Yarrowia lipolytica: one gene and its partners. The protein of the gene in region 3 purifies or fractionates together with the protein of the main gene of each other region. This does not show direct contact. Links are inferred from orthologs where the notes say so. Each region holds a gene or a part of one and is shown on either strand. Other genes may lie near its edges. The genes, in order: YALI1_F34862g, YALI1_A13100g, YALI1_D06276g and YALI1_A21797g.

Region 1 (3,320 bases), on a different chromosome or scaffold from region 3:
ATCACCCGCATAGGCAGTTAAAGGTGTGTGTAATGGAGATATATAATTTCACAATACTCTACAAGTACCGGAACTATACTCGTGCATGTATCTCCTAATTCCAGTAGACTTCAGCTTTCTCATTTCAAACGTTTCTTCCGTTATTTATACATGTAGCCAGCCCATGATCGAATCTTGGAGGTGTACACTAGTTCCTGATTGTGCCATACTCTGTCTGAATACGAATATGGTCTACTGAGTGCGTGCTGTAGCCTGTATCTACTTGCACATTATATTATCCATTACCAAACCATCTAAGGTGTATATACATTAAATACGTATGGAGACCACCATGATCCCTTCACCACTGATCACACTTCGACGCAGTTGTTAAGCCGTCGCTTCTAATTTCTAGCATGAGAACAGTATCAAGTCTGAACGCATTCACACGACCAAGTTTATGCGGGGACCTTCATCGAATGATCGAATACGGCGTTCTCGTCAGTCACTTGCACTACCGCTCCGCACTGTGCGGTGACCAACCACTCGCACCTATCGTCTTCCAGTCTCACGCAGCTTTTGCTTGATTCGAGCATATTCCTTTCGAATCGTCACGTAGTTTAGATGCATTTTTCCGAGGAAATGGTCAGCCAGACGCCGGTCAGTGTCCAGACGCGACAAGTAAGCGCCACAAGGGGGACACACTTGGAGTTTTTGGTGACCCGAGAAACCCGCAACAGTCATCATTTTCGCCAATTCGCGCTCTCGTAGCGCTCGTTCCGCTCGTTTCGAGTCCAGCTGCTGCATTTCAGCCAAGGCTCGCGAGATCTCGCCCAGCTCTCCAAGCAGTTTGATTTCCTCCACACTCATAGCAATAGACCCATCTAGAGCCTCCAGTTTTTCTGTGAGTTCCCGAATCTGGTTGACTTCGTCGTGGGTCGCCTCCAGTTTCAGCTGTCCCTCTTCGATTCTTCGATCACACTCCACCACGTATTTTGCCAGTTCTCGCTCGTACTCCTTTTCCAGAGGTGTGAGATTTCGACCCTGCTCCACAAGCAGCTCGTATTCCATTCGGTGTTGCTCCAGATGCAGCTTGTTGCACGACGCCTTCTCAAACCGCATGCCCACAAACAGATCATGAGGACAGAGACCGACGGTGAAGGAGTGGCACACCTTGGGGTCGTATAGATCAATCTTTTGACGGGTGGGAATCGACTCGAGAGCCTCAGTTCCCATGAGCTGTTCCAGTAGCTTCCTTTGTTCCGCGGCCATTTCTATGCTGTGTGATGCTGTGTGATTTGTTGATTGTAAAAGAGGAATGTACTACATATGGTGATACTTGGTGGTGGATCTTTTGCAGATGCAGAAACCCAAAGTTAGATAGTTCAAACAGTCGAAGGATTGTACCATGCATTCTAGAGAGTAAGTGAAACGAAATGTATGGATACAAAGGGGGACCTTATCCTTGTAGAAATTTGCTGGAAACCTACTGAATAAAAAATTTGAGAGCAGATAAACTGCTCAAGCTCAGGATTTCTAACACCTCAGGCATCCATTTACATGTACTGTCTTCATTTTTTTTGCCACTGTCTGAAGACGTCTAATTAGTGGAAACTGTGTTTTGAGGGGTTGAGACGGGAAGAGCTTACAGTACAGTAATTAGTGAGCTTCATCCGATTAAGTACAAGTACAATATTTCCCTCAACTTCTGCATGGGCAAATATATTACTCAAAGCCCCGCCTGGAACGACTCGTACCGACTACAGTACCTCTCCTTGTCTATGTCATAACGTACACTCATACCATATGATGCAATACACGCAAGTAATCTCATGTGCACCTACCGTCGCCAGACAAACCCTAACCCTACACATGTCCAATGAATTTTGGATTCAATATTTTTTGAAGCCAGCAACTGTTATCTTCTTCTCCTCACAACCCAACACACTAAACTCCGACAAAACGACGTGCTACTGTACTCTCAGAAGCATCTTCATTTTCGCATTAACAACACAAACACAGGTAAAGTATTAACACAGATTCTTTCCCGCTTCTAAACATGAACCACAAGTGTGAGTATAACCGTGGCAACTGTCATGTCACAAAACACGTCACTAATACAGACACACCCGTGAACTCGCGCTTATCTCTGGCTCGCCCACCAGTGCAGCCTCCGCCACCTCCTCCTACGTCTGGGTCGGCGTCCGACTGGCCTGAAGGACTCAAACAGTTTGCCGCTGCGTGTTTTGCACGATGTCCTAGCGGCCCTGACAAGCCTATCATGGAGGCTCAGTTGCGTAAGGTGATCACCGAGGCGTATAACACCAATACTGCATATTCGATCGATTGGAGTAAAATGGTGCTCCCCGTTTTCCTGCCCACCAACAACGGCTACACGAATAGTAACAACAATGGTCACATGAACAACAACGGCTACAACCACAACCTCAACACCAACAATAAGAAACGACCTGCATTTGACACTAACAAGAAACAGTTCAACTCCACGATGCCCCCAAAGAAGACGAAGACCAACAGCAAGCATGGGGAGGGCTATGTGGAGAACATCGGAAGCATATCGCGGAAAGACCGACAGATGCGTTTCATGCGCGAGCAACAAGCGGTAGTCGGCAACGCTAACGCGTCCCCAGCCCCCGAAGTGACCACCGACCAGCCTCTTGTAGGACGAAGTACTGCCCTGGAGAAGAAGTACCTGCGGCTGACCTCCGCCCCTAATCCCGATACTGTTCGGCCCGTGGACGTGCTGGAACGCACCCTGGAGCTGCTGATGACCAAGTGGAAGCAGGACCAGAACTACGCATACATCTGTGACCAGTTTAAGTCGATGCGGCAAGACCTAACGGTGCAGCGTATTCGAACGACATTCACGGTCAAGGTATACGAAATTCACGCCCGTATCGCGTTGGAAAAGAGCGACCTGGGCGAGTACAACCAGTGTCAGGCGCAACTTAAGACGCTGTACGAAGAGGGCCTGCCCGGCAACCGGCTGGAGTTTCTTGCCTACCGGCTGCTGTACTTGCTGCACACACAGAACAAGCAAGAGGTTGGCGACATTTTGGTTGAGCTGCTGGACGACGAAGAGGCAGCAAACTACGAGCCTGTGCAGCACGCGCTGCAGGTGAAGACAGCCATGATGACTCGCAACTATGTAGAGCTGTTTCAGCTGTATCGAACGGCTCCCCTGATGAGTGGCTACGTGATGGACAGCTTTGTGGGGCGAGAACGTATTTTGGCTCTTTGTAAACTGACGCGGTCTTTTAGACCGACTATTCCTTTAGAAACGATTTCCGAGTGGCTGGGATTTGAGTCGGAGGGCGAGT
Region 2 (5,008 bases), on a different chromosome or scaffold from region 3:
CGCTGAAGTTTTTTGAGCAGAAAACATACGTATCTTCGCCGTCTGATCATCCCCGTTGTGTGACATGTGGAGATGTGGAACTAAGACGCCAAATTTAGAGTTTATCAAAAACCCGTTTTATGTGCGTCGATTATGCATGTATTATGCACTCCACCTTGGTCTAAAATGGCAGTTTTCTCCCATCACGCCCCAGAAATGAACATAATGACAAAATAGCAATTATTAGGATGTTTTTAAATCCACCAGTATCTAACGGTGCAAATTATGGTCGTTTTTGGGTCACTTTTGGGGAGTTTCTTGGCAACATTTGTTTTGACACACATTAGGTGGGCTCACAGAAAACACAAGGGGCGTCTGGTGTAGTTGGTTATCACATGCGCTTAGCATGCGCGAGGTCCCCGGTTCGATTCCGGTGTCGTCCATCCACGTGTTCTTCATGTGACTTTTTTGCTCCGGTCGAGTACTTTTCAGTTGTGTCATTGAGCAGGGTATGTACTTTTTGGTTCTGAATACGATGTCCTACGAGCACTACAAAAACTCACAGAAACCCATCCAATCCATTTCATTTACAATTACATACCTATGTTTTATTCCTGCATTGTCTCGTCCTTGTCGTTGGACTCGGCAGCGGGTTCAGCATCCTTGGGCTCGGCAGCGGATTCAGCCTCCTTGGACTCTGCGACCTCAGCCTCCTTGGGCTCGGCAGCGGTTTCAGCCTCCTTGGTCTCCTTTGATTCGACAGCCGAGGTGGCCTCGGTGACACCCTTGGCAGCAGCGTCAGCCATGGGCTGATCCTCTTCAACCTTGGGCTCGGCGATGATCACCTTCTTCCGGGGCACAATGGGTCGAACAGCAAGATACTGGCCGACAATGTCCTTGACATTGGTGGGAACCACTTCGAGAATCTGCTCGTTCTTAATGTAATCAACGTACTTTCGAATGAGCGACTTGGTGACCTGTCGCTTCCACCATCCGAGCTGCTCCGAGTCGGAGTCCTTGACGGCCAGGTACTCGAAAACACTCTTGAAGGGTCCAACGTGATCCTGCACCTCTCCCTCCTGGGCCACCTCATCTAGAGTTCGAATCAGACACTCCCAGCCGTGGTTCTCGGTGAAAACAACATCGCCCGGCGACTCAAACAGCCAGGTGATAATAGCAGCAGGCGAAATGACGTTTTCAAGCAGCAAAAAGTGCAGAACAACGGTTCCTACATGGGGCTGGTTTCGGTAAAACTGCATGACGGTTGTCACGGCAGCAGACTCATCTTCAGCAGACTCAATCACGTGCTGGAGCTGCTGGGCAAGACGGTTAATCCAGTCCTGGGACAGAGACAGTGATCGAGAGCCAACAAAGATGGCGGCTCCGATGACAATGTCCAGTAGGAGCTCTCTGTTGTCGGGGACAGCCTCCTTGATGGAATCAATCACCTCGAGGTATGTCTCGGAGACACCCTGGTCGTACTTGTCCTTGAACACGTCCAACAACTGGTCGGCGACTTCTCTGTACTGGTTCTCAGACTCAATGTACTCGTAGGTTGGCATCAACTCGCCGTCAGTAGGCACAAACACCACAAGTTCGTCGGGGAGAGTCTCCTTGATTCGCGACTCGAATGACAGACGGAGCTCCTTCTTGATGAGCTGCTTGATAAAGACGAGCCGAGGGTCCAGAGGTTCCAGATCGACGTACTCGACCCACTCCTGCCACTTCCAGGTGAATCCAAAGTTGGACAGATGGTGCGAAAACCAGTCCAGGAACCGGTGGATTAGCTCTGTGTCAAACGACCGCAGATTGGCAAACAGGAACCGCACCGCTCGGCCGAAAACAGGGGCAATGGCCTGAGGAGCCATGATACATGCCTCGATGAACAGAGAATGAAAGTACGCAGGCTGTAGAGGAGGCGTGGCGAGCCGAAAAAGCTCTGCCAGGATGGCTTCAGACGCCACGTCTTCCACCTTGAGAGTGGAGATGGGTCTGTCGTCGGCCTTGGCATCCAGAAACTTGCCACTTAGCTTGTCTACCGAGATTCCGGGTCCCGTGAAGGTGCCCTTGTTGAGGAAAAGATCAAGGGTGAACAGCTGCTTGGCGCACTCTTTTCGGTTAAAGTCGAGATTCTGGATGGTGTCTGACAGCATGTCTCTCCACAGCACAGCGTCGTATGACTTGGGGTCTGGAACCGTGTTCATGGCCTCGCCTTCCACGTCAATGGGCATGTAGGCTCGGAAGAAGATTCTGGGGTAAATGTAGTCTGTGGAAGTGGACTCGGCCAGAGTCTCGGGAATAGAAACTGCCGGGAAAACGTGTTTCTGGGTCACCTCCTTGTTCTCCACCACAGGCTCAATCAGTTCTAACACGTTGATGAACGACTTGACGGCCCATCCGTCCTTGGCCACGGAGTTGACTCCCTCGTAGAGGTTGGCCAGGAACAGATCGCACTCGTAGGGCTTGTCGTCGCCGGTGTAGGGCTCGACGATGGGGTTCGACAGGAACTTTTCGATACCGAAATGACCGTTGGCCTTCTCCAGCAGCTGATCACAGGCCTCCACAGACTTGCCCAGAGACACCAAAGTGGATCCGATGTAGGGAAGAGTCAGAAATATGGTGGCGTACAGCTCCTCCACCAGGGGATCACGCGACTCGCTACCCTTGGCCTGGTCCCGCTCAATTGCTCGATCCAACAGTCGATCCAGGAAAACCAGCACTCCTCGTCCCTCCTCAATGGCTCCTTCGAGACAGGCCAAAAGTCGCACGGCTATCTTGACGTGGTTATAGTTGCCCTGCTTGAGCCATCCTTCAATCTTGCTGTGCAGATGCTCCACTGCCAGCTGACCTGCCAGCGAGTTGGAGGAGTTGGCCACGAGAACAATGGCTGCAACCAGCGGTGTTTTGTGGGGCTGCTCCATGATCGTGGCAATGAATGTCTCGAGAACTCCGTTTCGGATCGCCAGGTTGTCCAGATCCTGCGCAAATCCGAATCCCGCCTGAGCAACTCGATTTGTCAGAGACATTCGAGAAGGGTCGCCTATCTCGACAATGTCAAAGTACAGCCGGTCGAAGATCTGGTGCGTGGTCTGCGTGTGTCGCTGCCGTCGCCCGCCGTCATACCCGTCATCGTCATCTCGTCCTCGCTTGTTGTACGACATGATGGTTGTGTGGTTGGTAGATTGGTACAGGACTGTACTTCCACTACTACTATGTAGACAAATAATTAGAGCGCGGGTTAGGGTTGGAGATTTTCCATATAGCTTCAGGGAAGAAAGAGTTGTGTGTTCGATTCCGGATGTTGTTTTAGTGGCAAATTAAAATTATGATTAAAATTATGAAGAAAATATGAAGAAAAAAATTGTGAAAAAAAAAATTGAAAAAAAAATTGAAAAAAAAACTAAAAAAAAATACAAAATGAAAAACTACAGATGATGCACCATGACCAGTATGTACACAAAAAAGTGTTACTTGGATATACACTTGTTGAATGGAAGGGCTTTACCCACTCACTACCCCCCCCCCCCCCCCCCCCCCAAATATTCACACCATTTATATAATTGATAGTCTGTTTACGTGATACATGTTTTCTACCTAAACACGAGATCGATCTTGAACTGCTACAACACACTATCCCATGCTGGGCTTCAAATCCACTTATGCGGAATACCTGGAGTTCAACGATGATCTCAACGCATATCTGTCGACTCTGGGAAATGAGGCGCTGTGGCTGAAGCGGTGCTCGGTGTCTCTGGTGTCCACCCTGGCAGCCCGACATGTCTTGTGTCCCATCAGCGACAACGATACCGACGAGACGCTGATTCGGCTGGCTAGCTTCATGGGAGCCAGCAACAGTGGTGGCCAGAAACAACAAAAACAGTCTTTGCAACCGGCTTCCTCAGCTTCCAAGTTGATACTTGTATCGCGCAAGATCAAAGAGTACATCTTGACCAGGACAGACCCCCAGCTAGGCGACATGCTGAAGGGCATCTCCGAGCCAATCGACATTGCTACGACCATCGAAAAGACCTTCAAACTGCGCCGACGACGCGAGGTGAGGACGCTGTTCTCCGAAACCCTGGACCGAATCAGTACTCTGAGGATCAAACGCGACAAGCGTGGCCTGGCTATTTTCGTGCAACGCAACCTCGACAAGTTTCGACGACTCAATGTGTCCTTACTGGACGGATGCAACGCCCTGCTGAACGTGGACAACATCGAAGAGTTTGAGTGGGTGGGCGAGTACGACTCTCTAGATAGTTTCGAGACCATGTTTGTGCCTGAACACATGGAGACCCAAGAGGAGGCCCCTGTGGCGCCCATGAACGCTCCCACGGAGACATGCGATAAATCTCCACCAACTGATAAACCCTCAGCACCGCAGACATCCATCACCGGCGCCACTTTGGCTGTAGCTGTCTCAGACTCGGACCGGAGTGCTTCGGGAGAACAACCTGCGACTCCTTCTGCTCCTGTTGCTGCTACACAACCGCCCTCGGGTACATCTTTACCACCAATACCAATCGGAGCTCAAACTGCAAGCTCAAGTACAGGCCCAGCTGCATCTTATAGCTCCGCCATACCTCCCCCTAGCAGTGGAGCAGCGTCCTTGTCTCGAAGCAGTACACCTGCTTCCATACCCTCTGCATCACCTGCTCCTCCTCTCGACCCATCTTCCCCCACCTTGTCCCAGGGAACGCCGCCATCCATTCCCCCTGCCCTAGAAGGCGGCAACACTCGTACAATGAATGAAGCTCTCGTCGAGCGAACCATTGCTCTGCGAGAAGCCATACGCAGAAGCAGAATTCCGCCCACAGCTCCCGCAGCCCATGTGCGACCCTCTGCCGCAGTCCCTCCGGGTGCCGACGTGCTCCGTGCTTCCATTGACAACCTCATAAACCGTCGACTGCACTTGGGTACAATCATGAGCAAAACAACAGACCAGACCGAAAAGAAGAAGTTGAAAAAAGAACGCAGACAGATGCATCTTGCCATTCGAGATGCCGAAGAGTTTCTGGACAAGGTCTGC
Region 3 (4,141 bases):
CGAAGGTGTTATTCCAAGGCTACCTCCAAGACCCTCTTTTGTCACCCTTCCACTTCTCGTGATCCGAACATTTTCTTGACACCCAGACTGTGTATAATTTACACCCACAGCTAAAATAGGTTAGGCTGTGTGTAACAGTTGAGACGTGGGCGATGTGTAGAAAGTGGGCTGGTGGAGAAAGTGGGCTGATGAAGACACACGCAGTTTCGTCCTGACAATGTTGCCGGCCGTCTCAAGAACGCGATGGATGGTGCCTCTATACGTTCTTCACAATCCACCGCCACTGCCCGGCTGACTAATCTTGCCCCTCTTACTCACCCCCTCCAAACAAGCCAAGCTCATGTCTCCAACAAGCTCAGTTGTGCCTGAGCGTCAAGTAAGCTTTTTGTCGTTTGAGTTTGCTGTTGTGTGATCGCAACGAAGAGAAAGTGGATGTGAGTGCGACTATAGCAACTTGACGGGAGTTGCGGCGATATGATGCGGCTGTGGAGACTCTAGACTTTCCCAGAAGACCGGTCGGCTCCGCTTCCAGCTGCTTACATAAGCACAGCCCCCCAGCGGCCACGTCACTCGACCTCATCTCGTCCCCGACAGTCCCTGCATTCCCATCAGGGCAGGGGTTGGTTGGAATGAGAGGATGTGGCAAGATGGGCACAACAAGGATGGGGGGAGAGGTGTGGAGTGCGCGAATTTTAAAGGGGCTCAATCTCCGACGGTTTGGTCACGTGCCACACTTGTCCCACCCCTCCGCCCGCTGGCCCCTAACAGCGAGCTTATGGTGGATTGGTCTGGCTAACAAGCTTCCGATCGCTGGCTCACTATTTATAGCTGAGCAAGTTGGAGGAGGAGAGTGAGTCAGTCTGGGTGCCAGGCACGAAGAAGACGACGTGTCACCGTGGTGGACAAGTTGTTGATTAGCAAGGCTTTTTGAGCGCGGTCTCCGTTCAGTGGTTTCGAAACTCTTGTCAACGCCACCGTCTCACCTCCACCACCTGATAAGCTGCTGCTATCCATAGTCTCCAACCCTATCGCGTGCAATTCCTTCCTCTTTTGTGGCTTTGCTGTGTCCCCACCGGAATCGTAGCCGAGATGAAAAATTTAAGAGAGCCAAATGAAAAGGGCAACAGCAAAAAGGGACTTGGTGATGAGCAACAAGCTGGCAATTCTTTTGTTGCACGCGTGAGCTCCTGGTTGGTTGGTATGGGTGCTGTGCACTGATGCACATGCTTCATATAACATGCATCCGTCTCGGGTACATTTGTAGCGAGCTCTCAAACAAACCTCTGTTGTACGATACAGTACACACTGTAGCCGGCTCAACACATTGCACTCTGTACAGCCAGTCGACGGCTAACGAGGCCTTTGGCGCGACCAAAGTGCTGAGAGTGCTGGAAGAGTCCTGTTTCATTTATGCGCACACACTGCTCCCGGATCAGCCGATTGCTTGCTACTTGTAGTGGAAGTGTAGACCCTCAGGCCAAGACAGGACGGGACACACTAAGGCACGGTGAAGGCTTCTAAAAGCGAATACACCGGCAAATAGACTTGCTCCGGCAGATGCTTGTTTGTTTGGCAGGGGAGACTACTTGAGGCACTACACTATCGCAGCGGTCTACCTTAATACTCGTGCTCTCGGGGGTTTTATATTCAACCGAGCGGCGGGATACTGTAATATTAAACGTGACGAAAAGAAAATTAGGGTGTCTACACATAAGCCTGCTCCACGACCCAGCACAAGCACACACACAAACACAAATAAACTCTGGTGACGAAATTCAACTTCGTGCATTTGCATTTTTCCATTTTCTGAGCTTACGCCTTAGCCCTTTGCATCTCCAGACACAAGAGTAGCTAGACCATCGCTGCAAACCGCCGTCGACACCCCCCAGAGAGAGCGCTTACGTCAGGCAGTCACTCTCAGCAAAAAAATAAAAGCAGCGCCTTTCCCCGCCTCGCCATAGCAGCATTCTTTCACAGAGATAATAGAGAAACGGCACTGGCACACCCAAGCACAGTCTCTCTCTCACAGAGTACAACACAACACACCTCTTGTCTCAATCACCCCACAATCCCGACAATGTCAACCATCTACATGGGCGACCTGGAGCCGTGGATGGACGAAGCGGCCATCAAAAACATGTGGGCCCAGGTCATGGGGCCCGACACCAACATCAACGTGAAACTGATACGTGATAAATTCACAGATAGCATCAACTATGGGTTCATCGACTTTGCTAGCCCTGAGCTCGCCGCCGCAGCCCTCAAATTCAACGGCAAGCCCATCCCGGGCACAGACAGACTCTTCAAGCTCGGAGAGGACAACGGAGACGGCGCTCCCGTGGAGTTCTCCATCTTCGTGGGCGACCTCGCGCCCGAGTCCACCGAGCCAGAGCTGCTGCAAGCCTTCAAGAGCAGATACGAGTCGTGCCGGGCCGCAAAGATCATGACGGACCCTGTGACGGGCCTGTCGCGAGGCTACGGCTTTGTGCGCTTCTCCAGCGAGGAAGACCAACAAAAGGCGCTGCAGGAAATGCAAGGATACATGCTGGGCTCCCGGCCTCTGCGAGTCTCCACCGCCACCCCCAAAAACCGACATCACCACCAGCCTTATATGCAGTTCCAGCCACAGCAGTTCCAGCCCCCGGCTCACTACCAGCAGCTGCACTCGCAGCACCCGTTCCCTCATCATCCCAATGGAGCCCCCTCACATCAGGTCCACCAGCCCTTCTACGGTGGGCCCGCACATCCGCTCAACCAGTTCACAGACGCCAACAATACAACTGTGTTTGTGGGCGGCCTGTCTTCGTCCGTGTCCGAAGACGAGCTGCGACAATACTTCCAGGGCTTTGGAGACATCACCTACGTCAAGATCCCACCCGGAAAGGGCTGTGGTTTTGTGCAGTACGTGCAACGACAATCCGCAGAAATGGCAATTACCCAGATGCAGGGCTACCCAATTGGAAACGGCCGAGTGCGGCTCTCTTGGGGACGGTCTCAGAGCCAACAACAGGTCCACCATCACCATCAGTATAGACCCGCCCCACAGCCGCTCATCTACCCGCAAATGGGCATCCCCGCCCAAAACTACGGACCCTACCAGCCTGTGTCGCCCGCACTAGCCCATAGACACGCTGCTCCATTGCAGACCCCTGCTATCGGCGACCAGGAAGGCATGTCCACCAACGCAACCACACTCGCGTACGCCGCCGGACTTCCTCCCGTGACTGGAGCCCCCGCGGCTCCCGGCGAGGACCCCTCGGAGCCCATTCCTGTGGCTCGGCTCAATGAGCTCTATCTTGCTGCTCGGGACGGCCGTTTAGACCGTGTCGAGTCTGAGTCTTCGGGCTACCATGGCGTTTACGCCCAGTAATTGCATGAGCCGGTATAACTGGCGGAGGTAAATAAGAAATGAAAATCGCAGTATGGAGCGGACAAGTAGCAAGAACGACTGGAGATATACTGTATGTAGTGTCGTACTTAGACTACAGGTAGTTGTATTCTGATATGAAGAGTCTGCGTACAACGTAGGATTATCTGTATAGGTGTTTTGAACGGTATAATATCACTTTCAAAACAATTACAGGCACTTCCTTGTTCATTGCTTTTGTATCTTGACTTCGTCTGTCGTTGGTCTTGTCGGATCAAAAGTAATTCCATTCCATTGTGTATACCAGTGGTCAATTTAACCCTCCTAAGCGATAATATTTGGTGAACTCTGAGTGTCTGAGTGAATGGAAGTGAGGGATATTTCGGCAATGAAGACCGATCAGCTACTTGTACACAATTTGTCGTATTATAAGAGAGAGGAAAGCTTGTGTTACTAGCAATCCTACTTCTGGACTTGTATCGTGGTTCTCGTAGATACTGGTTTGAATGCATGAGGTCAAGATGCAGGAATGCATGAGTGTGAAGAATACAATGCTTGTGTATATCCCCAGTACACAAGAACGTAGTGTGCGGTAAAATAATATATCAATCAAGGGGTTCCTGAGTATACATTGGTATGTGCAGTTTCATATAAATGCAAGTATCTGATACGTTACGTCTGATACAGAATCTCATTGCATCATGTCTTCATAATGTATGTTCATTATCAGATACCAATGAAGGTCATTAGGAGACTCTACTGTACTCTACGAAC
Region 4 (5,488 bases), on a different chromosome or scaffold from region 3:
CAATTCAGAAGGCACTTTTGATTTCGGAATTATGGACGCAGAAGCTATCAATAAAGAGGAAGAAGAAGAAGAAGAAGAAGAAGAAAACGACGTGTTTGAGTATCCGGCTCTGTTTGAGCAGTGTGAAATCATTCAAGAGGCTCTGGATGACCCTTCCACTTGCGACTTTGTCATTGCATCTGAATCAGGAGAAGTGCCCGTCCATTCTCTGATTTTGAAAGCTCGATGGCCTCACTTCAAACTCATATGTGACCGAGATTCGACAATTGAAAACCAACAGAACAGAAGCTTGAGTCTCTCACAGCATCCCCATACGTGGGTCAAAGCCATGGTGGACTGTATCTACGGTGTTGACCCCCACATTGACGACTTCGATACTCTGCTCAAACTCATGATGTTTGCCGAGGTATATCAGGTTCAACAATTGCACGAGTTTGTCAACTACAAAATTTCATTCATCAAATTGAACCCCGTGCTCATGTGTCAGCTGTGGAAAGCTGCCTACACTTGCGACAACAGCTTTCTCCTGGACAGATGTGCGGCGTTCTACACTCGTCATGTGGAAGAGGTGTCCTCCTGCCAAGATCTCGAAGGACTCACAAAGCCAGAAATGGCTGAGCTGCTACGACATGTCCGACGCTCAAAGCCTGAATTCGCCGACGAACAACCAAAATACGCCTTCAGCCGTGGACAGACCATTAGCTTGGCTCCAATAACTAGCGTGGGTCGCAATAGTATATGATATAATGATTAATTTAATTTATGTAACCTATAATACAATCTATATACTTATCCCAACAGGCCACTCTCTGTAAGAGTCTTCAGCAACGAGTCATCGAGGTACTTGGTGACGGTAGGATCGTCCGACAAGCCCTTATGTCGTCTAGTCTTGACCACAAAGTCTCGAGCAAGAGAAGTGCCGCTCATGGCCTGAAGAGAAGGAAGCTTAATGCTTCTGTCCAGAGGATCTCCAGGAACAACCTGCCAGTCGTTGAAGATGAGAGAAACAAGAGCCTGACCCTGTGTAGCCACTCGGATGTCGGTTTCAAGACCAAACGAGTCCATGACAGGAACGTAGCCCATAACCTCGTAGAGAGTAGTGCCACCAATAGGAGTGTCAGAAGTGAGATGACCTCGGCGCTTCTCTAGAACCTCAAGAACAACCTTGACAGCAGCATGAGGACAGGTCACGTGGACAGAGTAGATGGGCTCCATAAGTCTAGGCCCAGCCAGCAAGTAACTGGAGTAACATGCACGTCTGGTAGTGGGAATGATCTGGCCAGCGCCTCGGAAAATGGCCTTGTCAGCCAAATCAAGATCCATCACCTTAAATTTGACGTCTCTAAGAGGCTCTTCGCACAGAGGACCTTCTCGAGTAGCCCACATGAAACCCTGAACAACACTGTCCTTCACAGAATTGAGAAGCTGTTTGTTGACTTCACCAGGAATCGTGTCGTTAAGAAGCAGGTTAGGACTGGTCTCTGTAGGACCAAATGCCCAGACGTTTCTAGACGCTAGAGCATCGTATCCGAGCTTTGCAAAGCCCTGCTTGTCTGTAGGTGTGATTTGGCCCAGAGATATGGTCTTTGATACGTCTTCTTCCAGAGGCTCGGCGATGATTGTGATTTTGGACTTTTTGTTGGGGGTCTCTGCGTATGTTTTGATAGCACTGGACTCCACACAAGTCTCGCAGAACCGGGTTGTGGGGTCAGACACCTTAACATTAAGGTCACGAGCAAACACCAGTCTCATATCATGCATAACGCAGTCCACGTAAAGCTCTCCTGAGCCCAATATGACATGCTCTCCGGACTCCTCCACCTTAGTTTGAAGCAGGGGATAGGACTTTTGACACTTTCTCAGAGAATCAAGCATCTTGGGGAGCTCTGAAGGGTTCACGGGCTCAATTGAAATCTTGAAAACTGGAGGAGTAAACTGTAGAGGAGAAAAGGGGAAGATGGACTTGTCTGTGGTCACTGTGGCATTCTTGATGATAGTTTTATCGATACCTCCAATCAGAACAATGTTGCCCACAGGCGCAGAGACCACAGTATACTTGTATCTTGTTTGGGACACAAACAGGTCTGTGATAGTTGCATCCGCGCAATCTTCTTCGTCCTCGTTGGGCACATAATGGGCACCCAACACCTTAACCTTCTGGCCCAGTCGCACGGAGCCAGAAACGATTCTAGACAACGCATAGAACGATTCTCTGTCGGCTGATGCAATTAATTTGGCCACCTTGACAACTGTAGGTTTCTCGGCCTCTTCCTTCTCCTCGCCCACCTTTGGTGCCGGGATGTATCGTGTTAGAATGTCGACCAATGGAGAGTAGGTCTCAAAGAAGGCGATGCATGCCGTTCTGATAAGGTCTTCTGCGTCCAGTTTCTGAGAATGTTTGGGCAGCTTCAGAGAACTGAGCATATTAACAGCCTTCTCAGGCTCTTCTCCAAGACAGGTAGAAAAAACCTTGTACAGAGGCTCCAGTACGAAGTACACGAAGGCTCGTTTGGCCGTGGAAGATGCTTGTGTAGAAAATGCGCTGGTTTCGGGGTTGTAGAACACGTTTCCCCACAGCCGCTTCGTCAGCGCGGTATAGTTGGGGGTCACCTTGCGTGCCATGGACTCCAGAGTGAACACAAATCGGAACTTGGCCGAAGCAAACATGACGTTGGTGAGGGGATCAAAGTACCGCTCCTCGCCAAATTCGGAGGCAATAAATATGTTGATTTCGTCGATCACGTTGGCAATCTTGTAGTAGGCATCGGCCGGTGGCAGTCGTAGATCCAGAATCAGCCGATCCAACTTGTTAATGCAGAGAGTCAGAGTGTTACTGTGTCTGAATGCGTTGCGGATAGCCTCCTTAGTACCTGCCAAAGGTCCCTCCACCACGTCCACGACCAGCAGAGCTCCTTCGGTGATGGACAAAGCACAAATAACCTCGTCGTAGAAATTCACGTGACCGGGAGTGTCGAGAAATGTCATGGCATGCGACTTGTGCTTGGAGTCGGCCAACAGCATACTCAGGGGGTTGGTCTTAGTGCTGACGCCTCGCTCGATCTCCACGGCCGCAGTATCTGTGTATCTGGACACGTGTCCGTTGATATGGCCCGAATGCTCGTCTGTCAGCTTGTGTGTCGCTTCAATCAGCATGTCGCATAATGCAGTCTTTCCATGATGAAGATTGCCCACAATCGACACGTTTCGAATGTACTCCGTCTGTGACATCATTGCCACCTGGTAGTCGCGCTGGTATGTGGTCTCCGGCAATCCCTCCTCCTTGATGACCTCTCTTTCAGGCTCTACCATGGGTTCTTCCAGGCTCTGCCCATCTCTGTCGTTATGAACGATTTCCACTCCAGGACCGTACACAGACTCCATTCTGGGGTAGTAGACCTTGTCTTCGTGGAGCGTGATCTGCTGGTTGCCGCCTTCCACCTCCATATCTCGCACCATGGGCTCCAGAGCCAGATGGGCCGTGTCGGGGTTGAGCACCATTTCCGTCTTGCTGTCGTCCTCGATTTCATCGTCGCTGTCGGGGATCCGTTGGTCCTCCTCGATATGCACCTCCTCCACGCCGTTGGCCACAACCTCTTCCACCTCCTCGCCAATGTAGTTACCAAACTCGTCGTAGTCGTCCATCTATGGTGTGTTGGGTTTGGAAATAATTGCCAATTATGCAAGGTATAAATGAACCTTCACAGACACGGCAGTGAGGTAAGTAAATTTGTACTGTAGGTGATGTGATATGTACGAGGACCTAGTGTACTTGCAGGTAAAAGTGCGAACTGTGTGCACGTGTAACTACGATTTTTAATAATGGTGTCATATCGACATGTTGAATACTAAACAAACACTATAAAAACACGATTTATTGCTCCTGCTCGGTATCACGCCACAATACAAGTATCATCGCTCCCAGAACATTCTCAAAACACGTAACCGTATCTGAGATGACCCTAATAGTGAGTGATACAACGGCTACAATAACGGTAATAGAGATGAGTAGTTGATTCTAATGAACAATATCTGTCATTTGGTCCTCTTGAGAGGTCCCATTACCTCTCTTGTCCTTTCGGTCTCTCAAAACATGTGTTTCTTCACCACCGTTGGGGCGGTTCATTGGACTCACTATAGAGATAGAGAGTCCATACTGCACTTGTGCGAAATTGTAGGTGTACTGTACTGCTATGAGAACCAAACCGTGGACCTGAAGTAGAGCAATGTGAGCACCAGAACATGGAAAATAAGGCAATAATGGATTGGCATTGTATATGAATCAGTCGTCCTGGAGAAATAATCGCCACATATCATACAAGTATTGGGTCACCTTGCCACTTCACAGTGTCTGCCTTGCCCAATATGGAATTTCCGTAACAGAGCTCTAAGTACCTACATACTTGTAATTACTGTAGGAGCGCCAAACATCACAAGCCGAGGCATTTCACGAGCTATTGAATCTAGACAGCTTCCTTCGACTTGCAAGAATATACGATGAGTGCGCCTTCCATCAATTCCTAGTTGCCTCCTACATGGTATTATCCACACACGTTGTAATGTGAAACTGACACACCAAGATCGGAGAAACTGCAGACGTGCAGATACAGTACGAGCACAAGATCTACCATCAGTAGCTATTCATTCAGGCCTCCAATCAGTGGTAAACCTAACTCAATACCTTCTCAATCTACAGTGTACAGTACTTACAGGTGCTCATACAAGTACACGCTCTCTCTCAGTTGCATCTGATCTCGCATATTCTCTTGATCATGGTGGCCCTGCGATAGTGAGACTAGTATGTACGTACCAGTACCACTATGGCTAACTGAAACCCTTTTATATTATTGAAAGCCCGTTCATGACAATCCATATTCCAGTATCTCGCCCATGATATGTATAAGTACATATTCTAGCTACTGCTGTATCTGGGTCAGTCCCACACTGACAAGACATGTTTCAAATGACCCTATCAGACATCTGACAAGCACTTGTGAACCTCGATTAACTTCGTGGGGTTGCTGTGGTTACGTATTGAGAGCTGACGAAATACCTGTCGACATGGATTTGAAATATCAAACTTCGAAAAATTCACTGGGAAGACATCTTCGAAATTGTACATGTACTCTAACATTTGAAAAAATGTAAAAATTCCAGTCTTTGTCAGTTGTACGGACTCTTTGAATACTCCTCATCTCTGCCCATTTGTAGGGTTAGGGTTCTCCCGTTGGAACTAAGCTGCATTAGGGTTAGCAGTCACACTTCACGTGATGACTCTGCCAAATTAGGAACACACGACAGCAAGGTTAGGGATTTCCCGACTGGCGCTGGGAGCATAATGAATTTGGAAAACTTCTTCTATTCTCTCCTACAACTCGACAGAACATAATCAAAAATGGGTAACGGAAAGCCTAGAGGTCTTAACGCTGCTCGAAAGCTCAGAATCCACCGACGAGACAAGTGAGTGATATCGACAAGACGAACAACAATG

Evidence for each region.
Region 1: the proteins of YALI1_D06276g (region 3) and YALI1_F34862g purify together in Saccharomyces cerevisiae (affinity purification with mass spectrometry; 5 studies listed by BioGRID). This does not show direct contact. The link is inferred for Yarrowia lipolytica from reciprocal best matches to the Saccharomyces cerevisiae genes NAM8 and LUC7.
Region 2: the proteins of YALI1_D06276g (region 3) and YALI1_A13100g purify together in Saccharomyces cerevisiae (affinity purification with mass spectrometry; 5 studies listed by BioGRID). This does not show direct contact. The link is inferred for Yarrowia lipolytica from reciprocal best matches to the Saccharomyces cerevisiae genes NAM8 and STO1.
Region 4: the proteins of YALI1_D06276g (region 3) and YALI1_A21797g purify together in Saccharomyces cerevisiae (affinity purification with mass spectrometry, with the first as the bait; 3 studies listed by BioGRID). This does not show direct contact. The link is inferred for Yarrowia lipolytica from reciprocal best matches to the Saccharomyces cerevisiae genes NAM8 and SNU114.

The regions. Positions count from the first base shown.
Region 1 is NC_090775.1:3,484,967-3,488,286, forward strand, and holds YALI1_F34862g (uncharacterized protein), read right to left. Parts: upstream 1,252-3,320; coding exon 532-1,251; downstream 1-531. Other genes in the region: YALI1_F34870g (uncharacterized protein), read left to right, coding at 2,039-3,320. UniProt on the Saccharomyces cerevisiae protein: Component of the U1 snRNP particle, which recognizes and binds the 5'-splice site of pre-mRNA. Together with other non-snRNP factors, U1 snRNP forms the spliceosomal commitment complex, that targets pre-mRNA to the splicing pathway.
Region 2 is NC_090770.1:1,308,135-1,313,142, reverse strand, and holds YALI1_A13100g (uncharacterized protein), read right to left. Parts: upstream 3,141-5,008; coding exon 588-3,140; downstream 1-587. Other genes in the region: YALI1_A13095g (uncharacterized protein), read left to right, coding at 3,617-5,008. UniProt on the Saccharomyces cerevisiae protein: Component of the CBC complex, which binds co-transcriptionally to the 5'-cap of pre-mRNAs and is involved in maturation, export and degradation of nuclear mRNAs.
Region 3 is NC_090773.1:625,577-629,717, forward strand, and holds YALI1_D06276g (uncharacterized protein), read left to right. Parts: upstream 1-2,077; coding exon 2,078-3,370; downstream 3,371-4,141. UniProt on the Saccharomyces cerevisiae protein: Component of the U1 small nuclear ribonucleoprotein complex (U1 snRNP) involved in the initiation of meiotic recombination. Involved in the formation of DSBs at recombination hot-spots through meiosis-specific splicing of REC107 pre-mRNA.
Region 4 is NC_090770.1:2,177,812-2,183,299, reverse strand, and holds YALI1_A21797g (uncharacterized protein), read right to left. Parts: upstream 3,643-5,488; coding exon 790-3,642; downstream 1-789. Other genes in the region: YALI1_A21835g (uncharacterized protein), read left to right, coding at 1-742; YALI1_A21775g (40S ribosomal protein uS12), read left to right, coding at 5,393-5,457. UniProt on the Saccharomyces cerevisiae protein: Component of the U5 snRNP complex required for pre-mRNA splicing. Binds GTP.